Linked DNA regions of Caenorhabditis elegans. The protein of the gene in region 1 interacts with the protein of each later gene in a pairwise test. Each region holds a gene or a part of one and is shown on either strand. Other genes may lie near its edges.

Region 1 (3,833 bases):
TTCCCGATGCGGTTGATTTTGCTTTGCTCTCTTTGCTTCAATCTGAATTTTCGCCATTTTTATTCAGATTTGTTCCTTCTTAAGCTATTACTTCTTGTGAATCTTCCGTCAAAATTTCATTCAAGTTTTCTTACAGACTCAAAAAAATGTCGAAAGCCAACGTCGGAATCAACGGTTTCGGAAGAATCGGACGTCTCGTGCTCCGCGCGGCTGTCGAAAAGGACACGGTTCAAGTGGTCGCCGTCAACGATCCGTTTATCACAATCGACTACATGGTCTACCTTTTCAAGTATGACTCGACCCACGGTCAATTCAAAGGAACTGTTACCTACGATGGAGACTTTCTGATTGTCCAGAAAGATGGCAAATCATCGCACAAGATCAAGGTCTTCAACAGCAAGGATCCAGCTGCCATCGCATGGGGATCAGTCAAAGCCGATTTCGTTGTCGAGTCTACTGGAGTTTTCACGACAAAGGAAAAGGCCTCTGCCCATCTTCAAGGAGGAGCCAAGAAGGTCATCATCTCTGCTCCATCTGCTGATGCTCCAATGTACGTGGTTGGAGTAAACCATGAGAAGTACGACGCTTCGAATGATCACGTTATTTCTAACGCATCGTGCACCACCAACTGTCTGGCACCACTGGCGAAGGTTATCAATGATAACTTCGGTATGATCATCATCAAATCAATTTGTTTTTTTCTAATTTATTTTATTTTCAGGTATCATCGAAGGACTCATGACGACAGTGCACGCTGTAACCGCAACCCAGAAGACAGTCGATGGACCATCCGGAAAGCTGTGGAGAGATGGACGCGGTGCTGGACAAAACATCATTCCAGCTTCCACTGGAGCCGCCAAGGCTGTGGGAAAAGTCATTCCGGAGCTGAACGGAAAGCTCACTGGAATGGCTTTCCGTGTCCCTACACCAGATGTTTCCGTCGTTGATCTGACCGTTCGCCTCGAGAAACCAGCTTCGATGGATGACATCAAGAAGGTAGTCAAGGCCGCTGCCGATGGACCAATGAAGGGAATCCTCGCCTACACCGAAGATCAAGTTGTGTCGACTGACTTCGTGTCCGACCCTCACTCGTCCATTTTCGATACTGGAGCATGCATTTCGCTCAACCCGAACTTCGTCAAGCTCGTCTCTTGGTAACCACTGAATTTTTAAAAAATGTATTTTAAATTTATTTTTTACAGGTACGACAATGAATATGGATACTCGAACCGTGTTGTCGACCTCATCGGATACATCGCCACCCGTGGATAATTCTATCAGGATCTTTTATGTATAATCCATGTATTTCATAGCTATTTTTTTTATTACAGTCATCATTGAATAAACCTATTTTTCTGGTGAAATCTAGTACTTTTGTCGTGATTTTAGAAAAAGATTGAAATGACTTCTAAAGTGAATGTCTATTGGAATTCGAGACCTAACCTTTAAATTTAAAGTTGCTTCGCATTTTGATGGTGCGAACGTGGACTATTGATAGTGTTTTGTGGTGCGTTGCGGGCTAAACCGCGACGCCTCTGACGATCTTGCACCCAAATAAATTAAACGTATTTTTCTGATTAAAATTAACATTTCGTCTAGAAAAGCTAATTTTGCACTCATTTGAAAATAATAGCATCTTTCTTTTTTTTAATGAATCCATTTCACATCCATTATCTGATACAAATTTTATTCTAGATGTTTTTCCTAAAGCTCCTCATTTTTCGAATATCTGTATTTAATTCGTTTTTTATTTCCAGAACAGCTGTCCTAAATCATGTTTTTTTTTCAGAAATGCCGTCCATCAGTAAAACGAAAAGCGGGGAGCGCTATCGAGCGCCTACCGATCAAGCTCGTAAAATGGATCGAAAAAAGGAAAACAAGAGAAACAAAAAAGACAGGCAGCAAATAAGACAAGCTATGGCGAAATACTGTAATCTGGATGAGACAACGAGCAAACTTTTGGCATTAGAACGGCAGATCCTTGGATTAGATCCTCAACCGTTCCATATCGATGTTCTCAGAAAGAAGCAGAAAGTGCTGACAGATTCGATTAATAAAAGACGGATGACATTGCAACAGGGAAAAGAAGACGCTGAATTAAAGAAGTTTAATGACAAAATCAATGCATATCAGTCAGATTGTCAAAAACTAGCTGTTCTTGCTCGTAAGTATCATTTTTCTTTTTTTTTATAAATCACAACGTTCATTTTAGAACAAGCTCGTCTTGCCCGCGAAGCTGACCCGGACATGATCCCCTTACCAATGGGAGATGTTTCTACTGCCGGACCTGAAAGAAATAATCAACTACTTGCTCCTGCTATGATAAAGTATGTTAAATAAGTTTTGAGAATTTAAATTTTTAATTATTTTTTAGACGTAAAGTGGAATTTCAACTTCCTCCTAGACCTGTTCGTGTAGCTGGACAAAAGCCTCCTGGGCCGCCTTGTGGATTGGCTCCAAATTTCAGTGACAGCGAAGAAGAAGAAGAGGAAGTGCACGATGATCACTATGACGACATCGATCTTGCGCCCGTACCTAGTAAGGAGTTAATTTCTTAACGAAAGTAATTTTTGAAAAATTTCAGTTCCCGAATTCGACAACCCGTACCAGCCAATTCATAGAAATTGTAAGTTTTTATAGGCCAATTCCAACATTTAAAATTCTTACTCCCTTTTGTCTGGAAATTTTCAAGAAATTCCCACATTAAAAAAAATGTAATAAAAATTATGTTTTGCAAATAAAATTATGTTTTGATTTCCAGACGGACCTCCATCCTCATATAACTCAATGCCAACCAGAATGCCGCACCATCATCACCACCATCACCCACATGCGAGTTCTCATTACAATCCAATGGGTTTCCAAAACCATCACGAAGAAGCTGTTATTTCGTCGGCTCCACAAATTAATCGCAGTAATGAACCTGCTGCTCCAGCAACACTTTCTGCTGCTCCTGAACTACGAAACTTACGACGAGAAACTGTCAAATTAGTGCCGGCACAATTGCTCCGTCGTCCAGGAGACAACAAGACTATCGTCCCACGACAAGCGGCTCCAGTACAAAGGCGACCGGAGGTTCAGAAGCAAGCAAAAAATACCGATGAAGCTTATAATGATTTTATGAAAGAATTGGATGGTCTCATTTGAATTTGGATACTGTTACGAGTTTTCTTTTTTAATTATTGGCGTTTAAAATAAAAAATTATTTCTAGTTCCACGATATTATTTTCAGATTAACTTTTCAATTGCTTGTTGTTTAAACATCAAATCGCTTTGATATTATTTCTAATAAAAAACGGGTATCCCCGCAAATACGTTCGCAATGTTCGCAGAGAAAGTCAGAGACGCAGAAATGCAAACAGTGCGAGAGTGTGCGTCGGCCATGAGAGAAACGAGAGAGGCATCCGAGTCTCCCACTTTCTCTGCCGGTCTCACCACGATCGATCGCGGTCTCGCAACGCTCTTCACTTTACAGTTTCCATTCAGCTTTTCCTTTTAAAACTGTTTCTTCCAGGTTTCGCCTGAATCTCCTAACTAATAATGACAGGCAGAGGCCATTCCTTGAAAGGTTAGTAAGCAAATAACAGAAAAGTATCACAGAAATACAATTTCTCGCAGAAAAGGTATTGCGAAATCAGAATAACTTTGAATTGAAGATTTTCAAAACATTTTCTTTAAAAACGGAAGATTTACAGTGATTTTTGAACAATAGCAGAAAAACTGTAAATTTAATTATTTGGAAAAAGCATGGCAACTTTATTTGTTCTTCCAAAATTAAAAAAAGCCAACTCTACAGGTGTAGCACATTCAAATCCCGATAGTTCTTCCGACAG
Region 2 (3,956 bases), on another chromosome or scaffold:
GCAGCTAGCGTAGCTGAAAACATAACTGGTTTTTAAAGATTGGATCCAAAAATTAACTGTTACCAAAACATTTGAAAAATTTACTTACGCTGGTTCATAGTGGGCCCAATGATGACGTCCACGTTGTGCTTCTCTATAAGATCAACAGTCATTCCAGCGGCTTCAGATTCTACGCAATCGTCAAATTCAATAGTAAAACTGAAATTATTTTCAAAATTTACAAGATGATATGAACTATTAAAACTCTTCAATCCGGCCTGTCTATTTTTTTTTACAAAACAGTATGGCATTAGAAATAATCTACTTACTTGAATTCCCAACCACTCATTAGATTCTCCCTTTTCAATCTATCAACTGCAATTGAAGCTGCTGCTGCAGATGTACGATATCCAACAGTGATAGGTGCACTTTGAAAGTCTCTACAGTGAATAAATCCCACTCGAATCACATTTCCAGTGGTACCTGTTGCAACTTGGGGAAACATAGGTTTAGGTAACAACTGAAAAAAAATCATTTTTATTTTGTGGAATTCGCTTTCAAAACCTACCGTAATCACTAAAAACAAAACTAGAGACATTGAATAGAAGGGCTTCATGATTATTTTCTTATGCTAAACTGGCAGACAGCAGATCTTTTTATATCTGCACAAGGGGCGGTGGGATTTATAGAAACTTAAGTTTACTACGCCTGCCGCCTAATCCGTGAAACCTTATTTTTATATTTTTCCGCCTCCCGAAACAGTTGATACGTGAAAAAGCACGGAAGAGAAAAAAGCTTCTTTTGGACTTGATTAATCTGTTGGTCATGAGAAAGCGTGACACAAGGTAGGTTACGGTAGCAATTGCGTAATTAATCGGATCAGTCTATGCGCATTTCTGAAACATTGGGGATTTCAAATCTAGTTTATCAAACAGATACAAATCACATTGACATCTCGTGGAAACAGTCTGTAAAGTACCGCAAATTTTACAATTTTTGATATTATTGTCGTTAAACAAGTTCCATTTCAAATTTTTTATTGAATACGGTAAAAAAACAAGAGAGGCAGCTGGTTGAAGTGAGTCACTCTTGTTGAGTTTTCGTTACTGGAAACCTGAATGAAGATAGTTTTTAACTTTAGCATTACGCCTCATTATTTTCCTATTTCCTTTTTACTATTTTACTTGTATTTTTAAACTTTGTTTAGCACATTGAGCACATAAAACCAAATGTTATAAATATCCTTATCATCAACCCATCGGTTTCTTTTTAACTTTTTTCTTTCTCGAATTTCAATGACCCGGAAAACCACCACATCATATGAAAATCGAATCTAAAAATTTGCAGATACGCATCTGTCCTGCTGCGCTCTTTTTTTATTTTTGAATGTTTTTTTTTCTGCAAACGTTGGGAACAGTCATCCAATCCTTCAACCGTTCGTCTCGTTTTGAATGACAAACGTTCTCTTTCCGTCCTCTGTTTGAGTATATTTACATTGCTAATTCAAAAAAAAATAGTATAGAATATAATGATACTTAGAGATAGTTCTGGCATAAAGTTTAAACTTGAATGAAATCATCAATGCCATTAATAACTGTGTCACTGCATTAGTTTATCAGCAAGTGTGCCAGCAAAAAAAACGTTTCGAGACGATTCGATACATTCCTGAAAAACTTCGATAAAAGGGAAGTATCCAAACAACCACACCCAACTTTCATCATTGACTCGCTGTTTTGCTTTTTATTTTTGTTAATCTTCCTTACAATTAGTTTTAAAGTTTAAAACAAATATTACATGTTAGAAAGAACTGTATTTTGGTCAGTTTGTTCGAATAATTTCGAAATCTAAAACCTTTTCTTTTTGATGATTCGTCGGAGTAGATGTTTCTCGAAGGAGGTAAAAAAAACCGTGGGCGATTCTTGTTTGCATTGAGGATAATAGAGCAGTAGTAGAAAAGCAGGGAGTGTCAACTCAGTTTTGTCTTCTTCTTCCCCTATTTCTGTCTTACTTTCGTTTTGTTTCTTTGAAATAATTAGATTTTCAGAAACTATTATAAAATGGATCGTCGTTTTCCACCATTCTCCCCATTCTTTAACCATGGCCGGTAAGTTTCTAAATTCTCGTGTTTTCGGAAACTTCTATAGTTGAAGTAACATAACTTTCTGTAAATTTTCTTCTTTAATAAGTGACGTCACTCAAATTGTACTCTGCGCCGCTAGTTCTTAAAATACACAAGAATTTAATTTGGCGCGATTTCTAAAAATAAGCTAGCGAGAGGACTTTGTACTCCAGTTTAGCAAATAATGCTCTGAAAAATCATAAAGACTGGAGATTTTGACATATTTTTCTGCAATTAGAAAATTAGAAAATTAACTTTAAAAATTTTACAAAACTCCTACAAACAAGTTTTCTAGCAGATTCTTCGATGACGTCGACTTTGATCGCCACATGATCCGACCATACTGGGCCGATCAAACAATGCTCACTGGACACCGAGTAGGAGATGCTATTGATGTTGTGAACAACGATCAAGAATACAATGTATCTGTAGATGTTTCACAGTTTGAACCAGAAGAGTTGAAAGTGAACATTGTTGATAATCAGCTAATCATCGAAGGAAAGCATAACGAGAAGACTGATAAATATGGACAGGTGAGGGTTTCCCTCCTTCTTGAAAAACTCAAGTTTTGTATGAAGCTAGTGCAACTTGAAAATGTTTTCATGCATCCTTAGATTAGCTCTCAAGATCCTGAAACCTTACTCGGAAAAGGGCAAAAAGTTATCCAAAATAAAGGCCAAGAGTTCTAGATTATCCTTCCGCCTGTTACGCAATACAAGGAAGCCAAGCAACTCATTTCCGAGCTTATAACGAAGTTGTACTAAAGTCTAAAACCTCGTTGTGCATACTTTCAGGTAGAGCGTCACTTTGTCCGGAAGTATAACCTTCCAACAGGGGTCCGTCCAGAACAAATCAAGTCCGAATTGAGCAACAATGGAGTGCTCACTGTCAAATATGAGAAGAATCAGGAACAGCAGCCAAAATCCATTCCAATCACAATTGTGCCAAAGAGAAACTGATTTCAGTTACCTAAGTGTCTGTATTTTAACTATTTCAAAAATATTTATTCAATTCCATTATTGAAGTGACAATATAAACATTTTGTTTAGACTCCAACAATCTTTTGAACCGTAATGAATAGAGCATATGGGAACATGGATGGCCTCTTCACTTTCACATAAACTGAGCAGAAGTTGAAATCATCATAATAATCATAATCGATTCGAACTCCTTGTGAGTTTAAATCAACTTGCATTGAAGCGATTGAAGTATCGTTTGGTGATCCAATCGTTGAGAAAACCTTGAATTTAATCATGAAATCTTTTCAAATAGTGACGAAATTATACCTGTTGTGCTAGAGCAAGTGGAAGACTTCCATTGATAACTGCAGATGATACAATGACGTTTTCGAGTGTTTTATCTTGACAATGAGATTGACACCATTGAACTTGGGATACATCTTTTCCGCAATTGGAAAGTGAAGCGTCTGGAAATTTCTTAAAATCGATAGGAAATCTTTTAAAATTAGTTTAGAATACTGATGCAACACATTAAACATGATAAGATTCATTCTTTCCTGTTAGCAGATTAATTTATAATTGATGAGCTTTCTCTATCAATGACGTTTTTTTTTAGATAACTCACCAAAGTTGGTATTAAGTGCAACGTCGGTCTTGACTTTTACAGAAGAATCAGCAAGCTTCACATGGGAAGAATAAGTGAGAGTATGTGACATAAAGTCGTTCTATAACAATTTATATCAAACACTAGTGTTTTCTAATTTTGAACCCACATTGACACAGAATCCATTCAAACTGAAATAATTATCTGGCTCATAAGCATTGAAGAAGATATTCTTAGCATGTACTTGTGCCCATGTAGAAGGTTTTTGTGTCAAATCACAGGTAACACTGGCTCC

The links.
Region 2: the proteins of wbp-11 (region 1) and hsp-17 interact in a two-hybrid assay, tested with the Caenorhabditis elegans proteins (one large-scale study listed by BioGRID).

The regions. Positions count from the first base shown.
Region 1 is NC_003280.10:10,171,134-10,174,966, forward strand, and holds wbp-11 (WW domain-binding protein wbp-11), read left to right. Parts: upstream 1-1,789; 5' UTR 1,790-1,791; coding exon 1,792-2,164; intron 2,165-2,212; coding exon 2,213-2,327; intron 2,328-2,374; coding exon 2,375-2,538; intron 2,539-2,584; coding exon 2,585-2,626; intron 2,627-2,761; coding exon 2,762-3,147; 3' UTR 3,148-3,213; downstream 3,214-3,833. Other genes in the region: gpd-4 (Glyceraldehyde-3-phosphate dehydrogenase 4), read left to right, coding at 147-669, 722-1,154, 1,203-1,272; gsox-1 (C2H2-type domain-containing protein), read left to right, coding at 3,541-3,568, 3,797-3,833.
Region 2 is NC_003283.11:8,383,995-8,387,950, reverse strand, and holds hsp-17 (SHSP domain-containing protein), read left to right. Parts: upstream 1-2,023; 5' UTR 2,024-2,036; coding exon 2,037-2,083; intron 2,084-2,393; coding exon 2,394-2,631; intron 2,632-2,892; coding exon 2,893-3,057; 3' UTR 3,058-3,143; downstream 3,144-3,956. Other genes in the region: gcy-7 (Guanylate cyclase), read right to left, coding at 1-13, 89-198, 309-499, 548-595; F52E1.14 (ZP domain-containing protein), read right to left, coding at 3,144-3,338, 3,385-3,524, 3,683-3,782, 3,831-3,956.